Linked DNA regions of Caenorhabditis elegans. The protein of the gene in region 2 purifies or fractionates together with the protein of the main gene of each other region. This does not show direct contact. Each region holds a gene or a part of one and is shown on either strand. Other genes may lie near its edges.

Region 1 (4,228 bases), on a different chromosome or scaffold from region 2:
GAAAACAAATTGATTGCCTAGAAAACCACGGATGGCATAGAAAACAAATTTATGGCCTAGAAAAAATATTTATGGCATAAAAAAGCTTTGACGACCTAAAAAACATTGATGGCCTAGAAAAAAATATTGATGGCCTAGAAAAAATATTGATGACCTAAAAAAACTACGAAGGCCCAGAAAAAATATTCATGGCTTAGAAAAAACATTGATGGCCTAGAAACAACATTCATGGTTTAGAAATAACATAGATGGCCTAGAAAAACCACGCAATTTTTAAATTTTCAGCAAAGTTTCAATGCGATGAATTCGGGCGGCACATTCCTCAAACTCATGGAGAAAATTTTCAGACGCCTCGAGACAAAGTGCCCAGATATGAGGTGAGCCACGTGGTTTATAAAAACATTTGTTTTTAATTTAAAATTTTCACAATGGAGCGCACTTGTATAGCAGAGATCAAAAATCGTAATTTCCAGATCGATATTTCTCACTACCGCATTCGTGAACTCACTGAGCCGCGAACGCCAGACTCCGCCCCTTGTAAAGACGGAATATGACCACTGTAAATGTATGGTTGGAATATTCGAGAGACTTATTGAAAATTTGGAAAATATTAACGAGCAGTTGACGATGATACGGCATTATGGAGAGAAACATGCTCAGGTGAGCAAAAATGATACTTATGGCCTAGAAAAACCACTGGTGGCCTAGAAAAATCACCGATGGCCTAGAAAAAACATTGATAGCCTAGAAAAAACACTGATGACCTAGAAAAATCATTGATGGCCTATACAAAATATTCTTGCCCTAGAAAAAACTATAAATGGCCTAGAAAAAATATTGATGACCTAGAAAATCATTGTTGGCCTAGAAAAATCATTGATGGCCTAGAAAAAACACTGATGGCCTAGAAAAATCATTGATGATCTAGAAAGCCACTGATGGCCTAGAAAAATTGATGGCCTTGAGAAATCATTGATGGCCTAGAAAAAACACTGATGGCCTAGAAAAACATTGATGGCCTAGAAAGATCATTGGAGGTTTAGAAAAATAATTGATGGCCTAGAAAAACCATTGGTGGCTTAGAAGACACATTGATGACCTAGAAAAATCACTGGTGGCCTAGAAAAACCTTATTGATGGCCTAATTTTCAGATGGCTGAAAGTGGGTTCACTGGAGCGATGATTGAGCAATTTGGAGAGATTTCGGTTTTCGTGATCGGCTCGCAAGATGTCGTAAAATTTAATCACGAGACTGTAAAAGCCTGGAGGCTCCTGTTGGCCTGTGTAACTGACGAGATGAAGGTTGGTGGCCTAGCATTTTCAATTCCAATTAATTTTTCGACAATTTTCAGGTCGGATTCGACAGAATGTCACGTATAAATGGCCGCCGAAACAGCTGCAATCCGCCAAGTACAGTACCCAGTGGGAATTGAGTTGCGCGTCGGATGTGGTGTATTTGGTGTGTGTACACCGTCACGTTACATTGCACTGAAATAAATTTATTATTTTATTTTATTTTTCCTCTTTTTTTACCGAATTTCGTGATTTTTCGGGTGTTTTCATGTAAAAACATTGAATAAATATATTGGAATTAATTATTTTGCCGATAAAATCGATAAAATTTAGCTTAAATGGCATCAAAACACGCTGCAAAAACAGTGGACCCGAAGGATTTGTCGCCGGCGTGGAAAGTGCTGCAAATGAAGCTCAATGAAGAGAAAGCGGAGAAAGAAAAAGCTGCAAAAGCTGAAAAAGAAGCGAATCCTGAAGGAAGTGACGACGGATTCACAAAAGTTCAGACGAAAAAGCAAAAACAGAAGATGAATCGGAAGCGGAGAGCTCAGGAGGCTCTTGCCGCCGCTTCGGAGGTCAAACGAGTTCATCATGATATTCCGGTGGTTATTGAAGATTCAGAAAGGTTCGGAATGTGTGGAAAAAGGCTAAAAATCGGCGATTTTTAGTCGAAAATCCTTGAAAAACCACGAAAAATGTATTAAAAATCGTTTTTTTTCAGAGGAGAGCTGACAAAAGTAATCGCAATCGATTGTGAATACGTCGGAGCCGGAATGGGTGGAACAACGGATATTTTGGCGAGAATTTCGATTGTCAATGAGCTCGGCAAGATCGTGTACGACAAATTCGTGAAGCCAACCGAAAAAGTCACGGATTTCCGTACTGCGGTGTCTGGAATTCGCCCGGAAAATATGATAAAAGCGATTCCATTTGATAGAGCACAAACTGAAGTTTCAAAGTTGATTGATGGAAGAATTGTGATTGGACATGCTGTTCATAATGATTTTAGGGTGAATTTTGAGGAGAAATTCGAAAAAAATTTGAAAATCAGATTTTAATATTGTCAAAATTTTTTTTTAAATAATTTTCTCCGTTTTTACCCAAATTTTCGATTAAAAAACTATAATTTTTTCCGTCAAAACGCCGATAAATTCACATTTTTAAAAATAATTTTTTCCGGAAAAATGGCTGAAAATTTGAAAAATGGTGTTTTAACGCAAAAAAGTCGGAATTTATTTGAGCGGGAATTCAAAAAACCATAAATTCGTTTAAAAAAATGTTCTAAAATTTTACTTTTTTTGGAAAACTGAGAGAAAATTAAAAAATCCCAAATACTGAAATTATTTTTTGAAAACTTCAGTTTTAATCTTAATTTTTTAAAAATAATTAAAAAAAAAAAATATTTAAAAATTCCAAAGTTTTTTTTATTGAAAAAAAATTTCCTTTTTTTTTTGAAATCGCCTGAACGAAATTTTTAAAAAAATCAAAAAATCCCAATTTTCGAAAAAAAAGTAAAATTTCAGTATTAATCGTAAATGTTTTTATGATTTTTAAAAAAATAACAAATAATTCGAAAATTATAAAAAAATTAAAATTTTGAGCGAAAATTCGAAGAATTTAAAAAAAAGAGCGATTTTATTTTTTTTTTAAGTTAAAAATTTTTTTTTTGAAAATATGAAATCAAATGTCGAAAAACGAAATAAAAAAATTATTTTTTTAAATATTTTTTTTTCAAAAAATAATTATTTTTCATTTAAAAAATTTGTAATTAAATTCAGAAACACAAAAAAACTTCCAGGTTCTGAAACTGAATCACATTCGAAAACTGACCCGAGACACTGCGAAATGCACAATTCTCAAGAATATGGCTAATCATCACGGTGTAAGTGAATTTTATTCCTTAAAAATGCATAAGTTTCGAAATTTTCAGACCCCGTCACTGAAAAAACTGGCAAAAGAAGTACTGGGAATTGAGATTCAGCGAGGAGAACACGATTCGGTAGGGGTTCTCAGGGAAATTGACAAAAATTGAAATTTTGTTTTAAAAATTCAAAAAATCTGAATAAATTATTTTTTGAAAATTTTTAAAAAATTTCAAAAAATTATTTTTTCGAAACTTTTGAAAAATTTTAAATTCCAATTTTTGATACAAAAAACCGAAAAAAAACCAGATTTTTCAGCTGAAAATTAAAATTTTCTCTCGAAAAAATCACAAAAATTCGTTTTTTTTTCAGATCACCGACGCTCGAGTGGCTCTTCGTCTCTACGAGGCCGTCAAAAAGCAATGGGAGGCCGAAATTAAGAGATATCGCTAATTTTTTCAATTTATTCTGTTTTTTGTTGTTACTCGTTGTTGTCTGTTTCGTAGAAAGTTTTATTCAGAAAAAAAAAAATCAAAAATGCAATTTCCCAATAGTTTCGCGGAAAAACCAGTTTTCCATAGTTTTCGGAGCACAATTCGGGCACATCCATTCCAGATCGCAGGTCTGGAAAATAATTGAAAATTTTTGGAACCCTAAAAAATTTCTAATTTCGAAAATTAAGTTTTTTTTTGCTAAAAAATTTTTAAAATTTAAAAAATTCGATTTTTTATCGAAAAATAACCCCATCCCGTTCATTAAAATCCTTGGGATCCCCCACAAAAATCGATATTCCACATTTTGTGAATTTCACGAAAATCCACAATTTCAAATTGATCGGACTTTTACGAATCGAGTGATTCTCGAATTTTTCAAACATTTCCTGGCGGAAAATCTGGCGGAATAATCTTTCAGCGACTGGCACGTGGAATCCAGGGAACCAGTGACTTCGCTTCATCGGACGCGATAGAATTCTCTGGAAAATGTGAAGTTTTGGCGGGAAAAACTAGGATGAAAACGCGATCTATTGAGAATTTCGACTTTAAACGGCTTTTTTCTTGAAAAATTTTGAAAAA
Region 2 (7,814 bases):
TTGCTCGAATAGCACCGAAAATTTGATTTTTTTTAACTTCCGAGCAACAGAGATTCAGAGCCATTAAAATAGAAAGTTTTGCTTTTTTTAAAAAGTTTTTAGGGAAAATGCTTTTTTTAAAATCGATTTCTCTGTTCTTATAAAAAAGTGGGAGTTCAAAAAAAAATTAATAATCGGTTTCCGACCTTTTTTTTCGATATTTTCAGATAAAAGTCGGGAAATGTATTCTCTCATGATCAAACAAAATCCATAATTTTCTCTGCGGTAAATCAAAAATTTTCAAGAACCTTTCCAAAAAACGTCAACCCAGTTTCCAAGAAAAGTCGACCCGCAAAGTCAACCCACGCAAGGCTTCTCCCAGTCTCTCCCGCAACAGTTTCGCTCCTCATTTTCGCAAAAAAGAACCACTTGAGAGTGTTACGGCTAGTGTAATGATGAGCAAAAATTGCGCGCACACACACAAAAGTAGCAAACTTTTAAAAAAAACTCGGTAAGGGAATTTACCTTAAACTCATCTGATGACACCATCAAACGCTCAATAAGCAGCATCGATGCTCCATAGGCAATGAGACAATCACGTTCCATTTCTCCAAGACGTAGACCTCCTTCTCGTGATCTTCCTTCTGTTGGCTGGCGAGTCAATGCGGCTCTGAAAATTTATAGATTTTTAAAAGAAACTCTGAGAATAAATTGAAAAAAATTTTTAAAAAAAGTTTTTTTTTTAATTTAAAAAATGTGAGAAAAATTAAAATGGTTTTTTTTGTTCCAAAATATGCATAACATTTCCGCGAATTGGATTTGAAAAAAATGTATTTCCACTATGAAAAATTGATTCTTTTTTCCCCTAATTTCCTAAGCTTCGAGCATTTTGTCAATTCCTTTTTCAGAACTTTTTCAATTTGGCTTTTTTCGAAATTTTAACCATGATAAAAATAAGTGAATTTTGATTGATACCAAATTTTCTAATTAAAAAAATGTTGCAATTCCTCATTGTTTTACATCAAAAGTTTTAAAGGAAAGTTGGAAAATGCAGAGTTAACTGTTCTAAAAATTTTTCTTTTTCAGATTTTGTTGCTAAACTTAATTTTTAAATATTTAATTGAAAATTCTTTCCAAAATTCAGAATTTCCAGACAAGACATTATCTAAATTCAAAATCTCTCCACACCTCGGTCCTCTGGCACGGGCGTGCATCTTATCCAAAACCATATGCTTGAGCTTCTGATAATAGATTGGTCCAAAGTAGATATAAGCAGATAATGGTTGTCCAGTAATTCCACTTGTCAGCATATCTTTTCCCATATAATTATAACCACAAGCAGCCAATTCTTCACAGACATCTTTAACCTGATCTCCACCAAATGCTGTTCCATAATGATATGTTCCATTCACTACTCCAGCTTTTCCAGATAACAATTCCATTAATTTTCCGACAGTCATTCGAGATGGATATCCATGAGGATTCATAATCATATCTGGCACCATTCCAAGATCATTAAATGGCATATCTTCCTGTTGAGCAATCAATCCGCATACTCCTTTTTGTCCGTGTCGAGATGAGAATTTATCTCCAAGTTCTGGCCGACGGGTTTGTCGAAGAAGAACTTTGAATAAATGAGCTTCATCTTCATTATAGGTAAGAAGAACTCGTTCCGCATATGATGGAGTTGGAGTTTTATACGTGATCGAGACGTCTTTGTAGTCAACTTGGCGTCCAGCGATTCCGACTGAAAATTTAAAGAATTGTTAGTGAACGTTTTTTTTTTTACTTTTTCAGAGTTTTATATTTAAATTTTCGTTTTAAATTAAATTAATTGAATATTTGAACGGAATAAATGTCAAGTTTTATTTAATTGTGAACGTAAAAAAGTTAGAAAATTTATATTCGCAAAAAAGAACGGAGACAGTTTCTTTGAGTTTTTTTTTAAAACATTTGTTTAATTGGTAAAAATTAAAAAATGCTATAAATACTTCAGATTTTTTGGAAAAAGTTTTAAAACAGGGTTTCTGTTGAAAACTCGCTTTCATTTTTACGAGGTTGGTCTGGGAATTGTTTATTATTCTTTTTTTTTTATATTTTTCGTGTTTTTTTTCGTAAAACTTTTAAAAAAATAGATGTCTTCTCGAAACTGTACATTCCGTTTTTATTTTCCTTATACAAATTCGTCATGCTCATTTCAACATACTTGTATTGGCAGAAGCCGACGCTCCAGGACCACTTTCTCCACTGACAACTGGCATGTGCTTATTGATAATCGTCTGTTTCGGCATAATACGTGCTCCGGCGAATACAATACCCTCTTGATCGAGATTTTTGTGCTTGAAAATTGGTTTTCTCGTGTTCGGATCCAATGCTGGTCCTAGAAGACGATCGAATGTCTGATTCGGATATTTTTTGGCGGTTCCCTTCACATGTTTGTAGACCAGACAACGACCATAACCACGATCCAGTGAAGCTTTATTGAGCACAAGAGCATCTTCGATATCGTAACCACTGTATGACATCACTGCGATGATTCCATTCGCGCCGGCCGGCAGTTTTTCAAAGTTTGTCAGTTCGATTGTCTGGAAAATTGTGATGTAAAAAGTTTGAACAATTGATAATTTTCTAAAAGAAAAACAAATTAAAAATTTCTGAATAGAATAATTGATTAGAAAGATATAGCGGATACTTCCGATTTGATTTTTTTATTTTTCGGAATTCAGGAAATTGATTTATTTTTATTTTCAGGATTATTAACGATATCTCTCCACAAACATTAGTTCAATAAATGAAACATGCATTTTTTAATCAAATTTTTTTCATAAATTTTAAAATATTTCAATTTTAACGAACCTTTGACTTAACGAGTGGTCTCTGTGGATAACATAAAAGATACATAATTGAATCAATTCTTTTCTGTTGATTATAGGCAATTGTTCCCATTGCTTGTTTACCCATAGCACATTGATAAGTATTACGTGGAGATTGATTATGATGTGGATATGGAATAAGACCAGCACACACTCCAAGAAGAGTAAATGGCTCAATCTGGAAATTTTGAAAGATTATTAATAGCTCAGACACTGAAAAGTGCAAATTTTATTTTAAACTAAGGATAAAAATCTTTAAATGTTGGAATTTCCTTGAATTATAGAATTTTAGAGCTCTAAATAATTTGATTTTCAATTTTTTATATTTAAAAAAATGAGAATTTAAACTTTTTTCACATAGTTTTAAGTTTCAGACAAATTTTACCAAATTTTTTGAATTTTCTTTACAGGAAAGAACAACCAGTTTTCGATTTAATTTTTTTCATTTTTAGATTCACAAAGTTCAAAAACGTACCTCCAAATGTGTAGTTTCTGGGCCAATTTCTCTCCCATAAACGGCAATCAACGCATCGTTCATCTCATTTACATCCAAATATTCGACAATTCCGTCATCAACAAAATCCTCAAAAATCATTTTTCCCTCTTTCAGTTCCTGCACGTGAGCCTGTGTGAGCATTGGAGTTCCGTTTTTGACAATAATATATGGTCGACACAGGCGGCCACCGTCTGATGAAATGAAAACAGAACGATTGGTTAGAGAACGGGATACTGAAACAAATTCTGACAGGAGTCCACTTCTGAAATTGAAATTCGATGAATTTTTTGGCAACATTTTTTTGTTGAAACCTTCTCAAATCTCTGACGGCTTTCACCACTCTTTCTGGATCCACAGCTGTTCCAATGAGCACTCCGTTTAAGAAGATCAACGTGTTTTCACTGAAAATTTTCGATAAAAATAACCTTTTTTTTAGGAAAAAACACAAAAAAATGGATCTAGTAATTTTCAAAAATTGTCAAACCTTAACTCGATTTGAAATCTAATTTTTATGAAATTGATAATTTATTTTAGAAATTTATAAAAATTGATTAAAATATGCGATTTTTTCAAAACTAGCATTCTCAAAACTTTTATTTTTCAAGATTTCACACTTAAAATTTTAATTTGTAAAAACTCACGGCTTATTGACATGCGAGAAATGCACATTATGTAAATCCTCGACTCCCGAATTGAGTAACAATCTGAGAACGGGTTTCTCATCGGAATCAGTTGTAATGTGACTAATCAAAGCGAGATTCTTCACAAGACCACAAGCTTCACCTTCAGGAGTATCACTCGGACAAAGCATTCCCCATTGAGATGGTTGAAGGGATCGAGGACCAGAGACTTTTCGAGTTTTCTCAAAAGTCGAGTTGATTCTTGTCATCATACCAAGTGCTGAGATATATGACAATCTACTTAGTACTTGTGTAACACCAAGTCGTTCCATTCGGAATCTTTTGATAATCCAATTTCCTGTCGACATAGCATTCACTATAGTATTCGTAATCATATCTTGTCTCATATGCTTCACAATATCCAATGGTGCAGCCATTGTCTTCATCAACGCATTGTCTGCAATTCTTTTCAGTTCAGAGTTGAATCTTTTGAATACATCCTCAAACAGCAACGAAAGCAATGATCCAGCGAGCTCCAAACGTTTATTTCCGTAGAAATCCCGATCATCAAGCCCATTTTCTCCGAGTTCCGTTTGAATCAGTCGTCTTGTCATTAATCCCAAATAAATCGCCTTCATTTTGAAATTTCCATCTGGGCAAGCAATATGTGTGATCATTGAATTGGACAGAAAATCGACTGCTTCGTGTTCTTTCGGTGGAGTCAAGACGCTCACTGAAGTTCCTGGAAGTGATCCGAATGGTGTGAATTTACGAGCCTTGACTTTTGAGGTAACATATGCGAGTGCCTGCTGTTGGGTATAAACTCCGGCATTTATGGATTCTTCGAGAGTTTGAGCAAATGCTGAAACGTACTTCTCCTCGTGACCGATTGTACTCACAATGTCAAAATCTGATTCGACTCCCATCGCCTGGAAAATTGAAACTTTGAAAAGGAAGCGGTTTTTAGTTTTTGTTTTAACATAATGCTACACTTTTTTTAAAATTTTCCCTATTTTTTGTAATAATTTTCTTGAATTAAAAAAAGCGAACTCGAATTTTGGAAAAAAAAATCTGAAAAACTCCAGATTCGATAATAAATGTTTTTGAGGAATTTCGATTGAAAATATCGTAAAATGTTCAGTTTCTCACAATCAGAAAGAAAGAAAGCTTCATTATTTTTTATTCTAAAACATTTTTTGAGAATATTTTTTGCATCAAAATTTGGAAAAATATTTTTCGGAGAATGTTTTTGTATTGGATGTTTTTTTTTTTAAATAAAATATTTAGGAATGAATGCCGAACATTTTTTTTTTCAGTTGTCATCAAAATTCTCAAAATTTACCTTGAAAATGATGGAAACTGGTACATCATCGGTGAGCTGATTGTGGCGAACAGAATATTTACCCTTCTTCATAGTCACATATGTCTTACTTTTCCTCTCGGACGTCGACGAAAGTACTTCACACTGCAGTTCTTTACTTGAATTTCTTCCAACCATAATACGATTTTTGGAGAGTTGTTCTTGAATCAGGATAACCTTTTCACTTCCTTTGACCACAAAATAACCTCCTGGATCATATGGGCATTCTTGAACTCTTGCAAGCTCTTCTTCGGCAAGATCTCTGAGAATACATTTACTCGAACGAAGCATAATCGGCATTCGACCAATGATCAGATCCTTCTTGAATACTCTTTGATTACCACGTGTGTACTCAATATCCACTGAAATTGGCGCCGAGTAGGTCATATCTCGTAGTCGACATTCTTGAGGGGTAATCTTATCGTGAGTCATGTTGAGACCCTCCTCACTGCTGGGTTTTCCGATTCGAATATCCAAATATTTGAGATAAAAGTTTGGATTTGCATCGGAAGTGATCTTCTGATTGGAGAGCATGATACTTCGGATCTCCTCCTGCACGAAATGATCGAAACTGACGAGATGCTGTTTGACGAGTCCTCGAACTTTCAAAAACGCGGGAACGAGAAGCCATTTGTCCTCGAGTGGCATGCATTTCTGATCCTTGCCGCACTCGGATTTTATGCGAGCGCGGCCGTTCACTTGGCCAATTGTCATCTGAAAATTGGTATTGAAAATCTGAAATTCTAGAATAAAAATTATTTGAAAAAGAGGTACAAAAACAGAAAATAACAGTTTGCAATAGAAATCTGGAAATAAAATTCAAAAACAAAAAAAAACTTTATATTCATACGGCGAATAGCTGAAAAAGGCACGGAAATTATTTGTACACCCGGAAAAATTAAATTATAGCTAGACATTTTTCTAAAAATAAATACATAAGGGGTTCCTATTAAAATGGTAAAAATTATGGGGGAAAATCAACATTTTGGGTGAAAAGATAGGAAAACGAGGAAATCCGATAAAAATTATGGGTTTCCCTGATTTTTTAGCTTTCCATTAAAAATTCAATTTTCCGCTAATTCTGGCCTCTACAATTTTAAATCAGAATTATTTGGCAATGGCGAGAAATAGTTATCGACGACAGAATCCTTCACATCAGCCAACGTCGCTGGATTCCACTTTGGCTTGCGATCCTTGTCAACGAGAACTGAAAAATGAGTCAAATTTTCAATGAAACCCTACAAAATCTCTGCTCACTGGCTCGGCACCCTTCATGGAAATCCTTATCGGCGAGGAATCGTTGAGTGAGACGATACTCCATTGTGAAGATCTTTGCATAGCTCATCTTGCTTCCTTCGGTGATTTGTCGGTGAGTTACTTTCAGGGAAGTTGGGCTCATTTTTCCTAGAGTGGCTGCTTGCTTCTTTGCCCAGTCGGATCCGTCTTTTTCGAGGCTTGCGAGGATTTCTTCGACGCTTCTGAAAAATCAATTATTTTATATATCTTAGGCAAATGTAATTTTTTGTGTGCTATCGAATCCTCAAAACTGGCCCTTTCCTAGTTTTTGCTTAAAACTAATATTATCTGAGAAACAATAATAAATCAATTCGATGAAATGCTACTTTTTAATTTGTTCCAACTCAAATACACGTGATCTTGGTGACAAAATATCTTACTTTGCTTTGAAGGAATCTCTAATTTGAGCCAAATTCTTGGACAGACTGAATTCTGGAATCTTCTTTGGCTCGAACGATCTGATGACTTCATCGACAGAGTTCTCTGTCACATCCTTAATATTCACAAGTTCCTTTTCCAATTTCGCAAGTTCCGAAGACTCCACAAAATGAGTGGCAAGACCAGCATGGAAAGCGTCAGCACCTAGAAGACGATATCCAGTGAGTGCCAAGTACATTCCGAGGTTTCCCTTGAGCCTTGAAAGGAAATAGGATCCACCGACGTCTGGGAAGAGTCCAAGTGCGGTTTCTGGCATTGCTAGCATTGTTTTCTCAGTGGCAACTCGGAAACGTCCATTTACAGAAAGACCACAACCCTGAAACAAGTTTTTTAAAAAATTGAAAAGAAAATAGTTGCAGATAACTTACTCCTCCCATCACAATTCCATCAATCAGACAAACGTATTGCTTATTCAAAGTTCCAATTAAATGATTTAAAATGTACTCCTCGCGGAAGAAATCCTTGTGCATTGTGCACTCTTTTCCACTCTCCGAATCTTTGAAAGATCGCACAACGGCAAGAACATCTCCTCCAGCACAGAACGCCTTATCACCGGATCCTTTCAAAATGACAAGATCCACATCGGAAGATGAATTCCAGGCTTGAAGTTTGGGATAAAACTCTCGTACCATTTCGAGGTTCAACGCGTTTAGCGCTTTAGGCCTATTCAATGTAACCACCTTCTTCGATCCGTGTGTGTCGACAAGGATTTCCGACTTGGCGGCGGCGCTCACGGAGAACGACATCTTCTG
Region 3 (6,529 bases), on a different chromosome or scaffold from region 2:
CAATTTGCCGAAAATTTTCGGCAATTGCCGTGTTTCAGGCGAATTCGTCAAATCGACAATTTGTCGGTTTGCCATTTTTCCTGAAATTTTAAATTCAGCAAAATTGCCGATTTGCCGGAAATTTCAATTCCGGCAATTTGCCGATTTGCCGGAAATTTTCAATTCCGGAAGTTTGCCGATTTGCCGGAAATTTTCAATTCCGGCAATTTGCCGATTTGCCAGAAATTTTCAATTCCGGCAATTTGCTGATTTGCCGGAAATTTTCAATTCCGGAAGTTTGCCGATTTGCCGGAAATTTTCAATTCCGGAAATTTGCCGATTTGTCGATTTGCCGGAAATTTTCAATAACGGCAATTTGTCAATTTACCGGATATTTCAATTCCGGCAAATTGCTGATTTTCCTGAAATTTTCAATTCCGGCAAATTGCCGATTTGCCGAAAATTTTCAATTCCTGATTTAAGATTTTAGCTAAAATTCGTCAAATTAAAGTAAAAAAAACCAAAAAAAAAAAACGTTTTTTTTTCAGATTTTCCCAGTACTTCACATTGAGCGCTGGGCTTTTGACGTTGAGCTCATCTTCCTTTGCGAAAGATGGACGGTCCCTGTGAAAGAAGTTTCAGTTCGATGGACTGAAATCGAAGGGTCTAAGATTACTCCAATTTGGTCTTGGCTTCAAATGGGCCGAGATCTTGTGCTCATTTGGTTCAGATATACGGTAAAATTGCAGTTTTTTAGGCCTTTTTTGAAGTGGTGTCAGGATGTCCCATCGCTCTACTGCACACGAAAATGGCGGGAAAATATTTTTTTTTTAATTTGTGACGTCACAGCGTATCTTGAATAATTTTCTTAATTTTAAGCGCCGATTTTTGTCAAACTTAAAAAAAAAATAAATAAATAATATCTTTCTCATTTTAATTTATAAAATTTGATATTTTACCAAAATTCTTAAAATTTAGTGGAAAAATTGAAGCAAAATACACAATAAAAATGAATAATTTCAATTGAAACGAATTTTTTTTTTCGAAAAACCATTTAAACCGTTCATTTACCAAGTTTCCGTGAATTTTTTAAAAATGATTTTCCAAATAAATTTTTGTTTAAATTGAAATTATTCATTTTTATTGTATTTTGCTTCAATTTCTCCACTAAATTTTAGAATTTTTGTAAAATATCAAATTTTATAAATTAAAATGAGCCAGTTTTTAAAAAAATTTCACGAAAATCGGCGCTTAAATTGAACAAAAGCAATTATTCAAAATGCGCTGTGTGACGTCACAAATTTTCAAAAAATATTTTCCCGCCATTTTCGTGTGCGGTAGAGCGACCTGACAATATTTTTGACATTAAAATTTTATTTTCAGATCGGAATTTGGACGGATGACCAGCCTCGCTAAATGCTCCACAAAAAATCGATACGAGATTTTCAAAAAATCTTGCCCAAAAATTTCCTTTTTCTTCTAGTAATATCTATGCTTTAATCACTTTTTTTCCCTGCTTTTTCCTGATTTTTTTTCCAATTTATGGCTGGTTGTAAATATCCATGATTCCTTGAAAATGTGATTCTATTCTTTTTTCTTTTCGCATTTTTATTATTTATTTATTTACTTGTTGGTTTTTCTTTTTTTTCTCTCTTGTTCTGGGGACTCTGGGTTTATTTTTAATGCTAAATTCAAAAAAATATCGATTTAAATGTTTTTTTCCATTTTTTTGTTTTTTTTTTCGTTTTCCCAGCGATTTTATATCTTTCCATAGAGTTTTCAGGCGAAAAAAATCAAAAAATTTCCAGGCAAAAATGGTCAAAAAAGCGGCGGCAACTAGCAAGCAGGCTACCTATCACAGTGATGAGATCGAGATGAAAGAGGAAGTTGTGCTCAATGTAGGATTTTTTGAATATTTCAAGGATGCAATCGCGCTCCATTGGGAAACGAGAGCGCTCCGCCCCCAAACGTTGGGTCTCGTTAGGAAATCAGGCGGCAAAAGCATTTTCCGTATTTTTTTAAAATTTCGTCCAGAAAAATTTTAAAAAATTCCAATTTTTTATTGAAAATCGTTATTTTTCCGAAAAAAATTGTTATACAAATTTACGAAAAAAGGCGGCGATTTATCAACTGCCGGAAATTAGTGAAAGATTACTTTTTTTCAAAAAAAATTGAAAAAATTTAAAATTGTGAGATAAACCAAGAAAAAATTAACTTTCGATTTTTTCAACTTTTTGGAAAAAAAAAACACAAACCAAAGAAAAAATGAACAAAAAAAAAGCGGATTGCGTGTATTTTTCACCACGCGTAACGTCGTTGTCGCGATGTCCTCCGGACCGAAGAGCAAGAAGCTAAAAACGCCCACGCTTGAACAGCAAATCGAAGATGGAGTCAATGCTTATATTCACTCGCAGCAGTTTGAGTTCAACTCTCCACCACGGGAAAATTTTTTTGCCAATTTTTTCGTCTCAAAAAAAAAAGGAAAAAAAAACCAAAAAACCGACATTTCTGGTCAATATTTTTTTTTGTTTTTTTTTTTTGAAGAAATTCGATTTTTTGCTTTTCGGCCGAAATTTTTATTTTTTTAAATTTTCCAAAAATTCTTCTTCAATTCCAGACCTACGACGAATGCACCGATTATGTCGAATACGACGATACAAAACAATTCGATATCAACGAGTATTGCGATCAAATCCAAGTGGCAATGGTCAATGAATCCGACGATGGAATGACATTGGAATTTGATATTACTCGCATTGAAGCTCCAATTGCAAATGCTCTTCGCCGTGTGCTCATCGCCGAAGTGCCAACGATGGCTCTCGAGAAGATTTATCTCTATCAGAATACTTCTGTAATTCAAGATGAAGTACTCTGCCATCGTTTGGGTCTTCTGCCGCTTCGTGTGGATCCACGTGGATTTCAGTTTCCAAAGGAAAAAGTCGTTGGAATCAATGAGAAGGGAGTGGATTGTGACGAGGAGCCCGAGGGAGATCCCGCGAAAAATTTGATCTTCAAGATTAATGTTTCGTGTACGAAGAATCGAAATGCGGTGCCGACGGCTACCGATCCGAAGCAGCTTTATCACAATAGCTCGGTCTACTCACGTGCTTTTGAATGGGTACCGATTGCTGATCAGAAGACGCAATTCACCGAAGAAGCCCATCCACGTATGGTTTCTGATGATATTCTCGTTGCCAAGCTTCGTCCTGGACAGGAAATTGAAGCCAGTTGCCATGCGGTCAAGGGAATCGGACGGGATCATGCAAAGTTCTCACCGGTTGCTACTGCGTCCTATAGGTGTGAATTTTGAAGCTGCTGAAATATTTTCTTTTGATTTTTGCGGTTTTCCGGAAAATTGAAAATTTTTCGTTTTTCGATTTTCTCGGAAAAAGTGAAAAATTGGGGGGAAAAAAATTATAATTCATATAATATATTTTCGGTTTTACGGGACCCCAAATTCTGAGAATGCGTATTACACAAAATTTTTGACGCGCAAAATATCTCGTAGCGAAAACTACAGTAATTCTTTAAATGACTACTGTAGCTTTTAAAGAGTTACTGTAGTTTTCGCTACGAGATATTTTGGGGAAGTTAAATAATTTTTGTACATCTACCTATATTCAGTATATTTAGACTGTTTTCTGTAATTTTGTGGAAAAAAAAGTTCGAAAATTTCAAGCCAGAGGTGAATTTTTTTGTCGACAAATTTGACAAATTGCCAATTTTTTTTTATTTTCGGCAATTTTCATTTTCGGCGATTTGCCGGAAATTTTCATTTTCGGCGATTTGCTGGAAATTTTCATTTTCAGCAATTTGCCGATTTGTCGATTTGCCGGAAATTTTCATTTTCGGCGATTTGCTGGAAATTTTCATTTTCAGCAATTTGCCGATTTGTCGATTTGCCGGAAATTTTCATTTTCGGCGATTTGCTGGAAATTTTCATTTTCAGCAATTTGCCGATTTGTCGATTTGCCGGAAATTTTCTTTTTCGGCAATTTGCCAGTTTGACGATTTGCCGGAAACTTCGATTTCGGTTAATTGCCGGTTTACCGATTTGCCGGAATTTTCATTTTCTGCAATTTGCCGGTTTACCGATTTGCCGGAATTTTCATTTTTGACAAATTGACGATTTGCCGGTTTGCCGGAAATTTTCATAGAATTTGCCTACTTTTCAAAATACATGTAGGAACATTTATAGGATGCGTACAATTTAGCCGATTGAAATTGAAAATCTGAAATTTCCAAAAAAAATGTGCAAAAACACAATTTGCCGGTTTGCCGGTTTGCCAATTTGACCTTCAAATTCTTCCAATTTTTCAAAAAATTTCTTTTCATTCCAGACTGCTTCCAACGATCCGCTTGAACGCCGAAATTTCGGGTGAAGCTGCCGAACGTCTCAAATCAGTATTCAGCGAGGGAGTTATTGCTATCGAGAAGAAAGGAGGTAGATCATAAATCAATTTTTAGGAAACACACCAATTTTTTTAAAATTTCAGCCAAACGAATTGCTGTTGTCAAGGATGCTCGCAAGGATACGTGCAGTCGTAACGTGTTCCGCCACGAAGATCTGTCGAAAGTTGTTCAATTGGGAAAGAACAAACAGCATTTCATTTGTTAGTGGCAGGGCTGAATTCGAAAAAAAAAACTGAAATTCATGAATTTTTCGCATTTTTTTGGTTTTTTTTCCAAAAAAAAATACACGAAAAGTTGTCGAAAAACAAACCCCAATTTTGTTAAAGTTTGAAACCTTATTTTGAAAATTTTAAATATTTTTGCCAAATTTTAACTCTTTTTTTTAATTTTGAGAGTGGTTTTTTTGGAAAATGTATAAGTAATTTTTTTTGGAGCCGGAGTTTTTATATATTTTTTTTCGCTTTTTTTTTCGAAAAAAAAAGAATTTTCGCCAGAAACATGGTACAGACGTGCCGTTTTTCGATTTTTTTTTTGAAAAAATTTTTAAAACGAAAAGTTGAAAAATTGGAAATTGGGAAAAGAAAATTTTTGAGTTTTCGAACTTAAAAAAAACGAAAAAATTTTTAAAAAAAATGTTCAGAAAATTAAAATTGAGCAGAAACTGGGGAAAATTCGAAAAATTCTGAAAAATTCACAAAAAAAACCCATTTTTTCGAACTTTTTTCCGATAAAATTACAAAAATCCTAAATTTTCTACTTTTCAAGGGCCCGAATTTTTGTGGAAAATTAGTAAAAATCGGTTAAAATTAACCATTAAATATGATTTTTTCTAATGGGGTTATTCAAGTAATGTAGCAATTTTTTTTTTTTTTCGCAAAAATTTTTTTACACTTTTTAATTTTCCGACACTACTTGAATAACCCCATAAATCAATTTTATCGAAACTGATGAGAAAAAAAAATTTAACGAAAAAAAAACACAAAATTTCGTCGTCAGAAATTTTTCGATTTTTCCCAAGTTTTCTAATTTTTTTGGTTGAGAAAGTCGATTTTTTTTAAATATAAAAAAAAAACCGAAAAAAACGTAGGAAAAAAGAGGGAAAAACTATAAACTTATTTAAAAATAAATTATATTTCAATGAGAAAAATGAAAATTTCTTCAAAAATACAAAAAAAAACCAAAAAACCATTTAAAAAAATTGCCAAAATTTCAAATTTCTTTTTTTTTAAACTGAAAAAAAAACACACAAAAAATTTTTCACAATTTTTACCGGCAAATTCGGCAAATTGGCAATTTGCCGGTTTGCCGATTTGCCGGAAATTTTGAATTCCGGCAATTTTAGTTTTTTTTTCAGTCAGTGTAGAGTCGACTGGAGCTCTGAAATCGTCTGAATTGGTGGTTGAAGCCTGTAAAGTCATGGAAATCAAGTGTCGTTCTCTTCGCAAACAAATCGAGGCTCTTATTCAATAATCCCCGTTTTTTTGAAATTTTGTTACTATTTTTTTATTCGTTATCCTTTTTTTTTGTTGTTGTTTGACTACCCCTCAAGTTGTTACACTGTTCCGTCACTTTCTTTTTTCTTAATTTGAATGAATTTTCGTGGCTTTTTTACCTTCAAATATCTCCTAGTTGGCCAAATGGTTGAAATTTCCATTTTTTATTTGTTTTTTTTGTAGTTTTTTAACAGGTTCATAGAAAAATCATTCATTTTTTCGGTTTTTTCAGAAAAAAATTATTAAAAAATGGAAAAACTCCAAAATTTTGAGCTATTTTCTCAAAATATTGGAAAACGAATTCTTTTCGATTTTCAGAAAAATTAGAAACAAAACTTTAAAAATCATCAATTTTTGTCTATCCTGATGAAAAAATATAATTTTCTTCAAAAAATTAAAAAAAAAAACCAAAATTTGAATAAAAAATTGTAAAACTAACATTTTCGGTTTTCCGGAAAATCGAAAAAGCGAAAAATCTTTTCTTTGCAGAAAAAAAGAAAAATCAATTTTGTTCTAAAAAATATCCTTTTTCGAAATACTGGAAAAACGGGGCAGTTTTCGAATTTTTTTCAGAAAATTGAAAAAAAAACGATTGTTTTTAGAAAACTAGCAAAAATTCAATATTTTGTCGAATTATATAATTT

Evidence for each region.
Region 1: the proteins of rpc-2 (region 2) and Y17G7B.12 fractionate together in Caenorhabditis elegans (co-fractionation; one large-scale study listed by BioGRID). This does not show direct contact.
Region 3: the proteins of rpc-2 (region 2) and rpac-40 fractionate together in Caenorhabditis elegans (co-fractionation; one large-scale study listed by BioGRID). This does not show direct contact.

Annotation. Positions count from the first base shown.
Region 1 is NC_003280.10:12,022,235-12,026,462, forward strand, and holds Y17G7B.12 (RNA exonuclease 4), read left to right. Parts: upstream 1-1,626; 5' UTR 1,627-1,631; coding exon 1,632-1,918; intron 1,919-2,014; coding exon 2,015-2,303; intron 2,304-3,091; coding exon 3,092-3,175; intron 3,176-3,223; coding exon 3,224-3,292; intron 3,293-3,527; coding exon 3,528-3,608; 3' UTR 3,609-3,686; downstream 3,687-4,228. Other genes in the region: glb-29 (Globin domain-containing protein), read left to right, coding at 286-377, 474-660, 1,153-1,302, 1,353-1,433; Y17G7B.8 (F-box domain-containing protein), read right to left, coding at 3,687-3,779, 3,898-4,128.
Region 2 is NC_003281.10:5,555,593-5,563,406, reverse strand, and holds the start of rpc-2 (DNA-directed RNA polymerase subunit beta), read right to left. Parts: upstream 6,043-7,814; coding exon 5,311-6,042; intron 4,898-5,310; coding exon 3,990-4,897; intron 3,750-3,989; coding exon 3,660-3,749; intron 3,611-3,659; coding exon 3,328-3,610; intron 3,031-3,327; coding exon 2,836-3,030; intron 2,565-2,835; coding exon 2,186-2,564; intron 1,727-2,185; coding exon 1,168-1,726; intron 650-1,167; coding exon 505-649; intron 1-504. Other genes in the region: hach-1 (3-hydroxyisobutyryl-CoA hydrolase, mitochondrial), read right to left, coding at 6,417-6,535, 6,586-6,806, 7,005-7,378, 7,431-7,814.
Region 3 is NC_003283.11:4,197,698-4,204,226, forward strand, and holds rpac-40 (DNA-directed RNA polymerases I and III subunit RPAC1), read left to right. Parts: upstream 1-1,787; 5' UTR 1,788-1,793; coding exon 1,794-1,877; intron 1,878-2,596; coding exon 2,597-3,276; intron 3,277-4,319; coding exon 4,320-4,423; intron 4,424-4,475; coding exon 4,476-4,592; intron 4,593-5,746; coding exon 5,747-5,862; 3' UTR 5,863-5,999; downstream 6,000-6,529. Other genes in the region: algn-5 (dolichyl-phosphate beta-glucosyltransferase), read left to right, coding at 528-716, 1,363-1,395.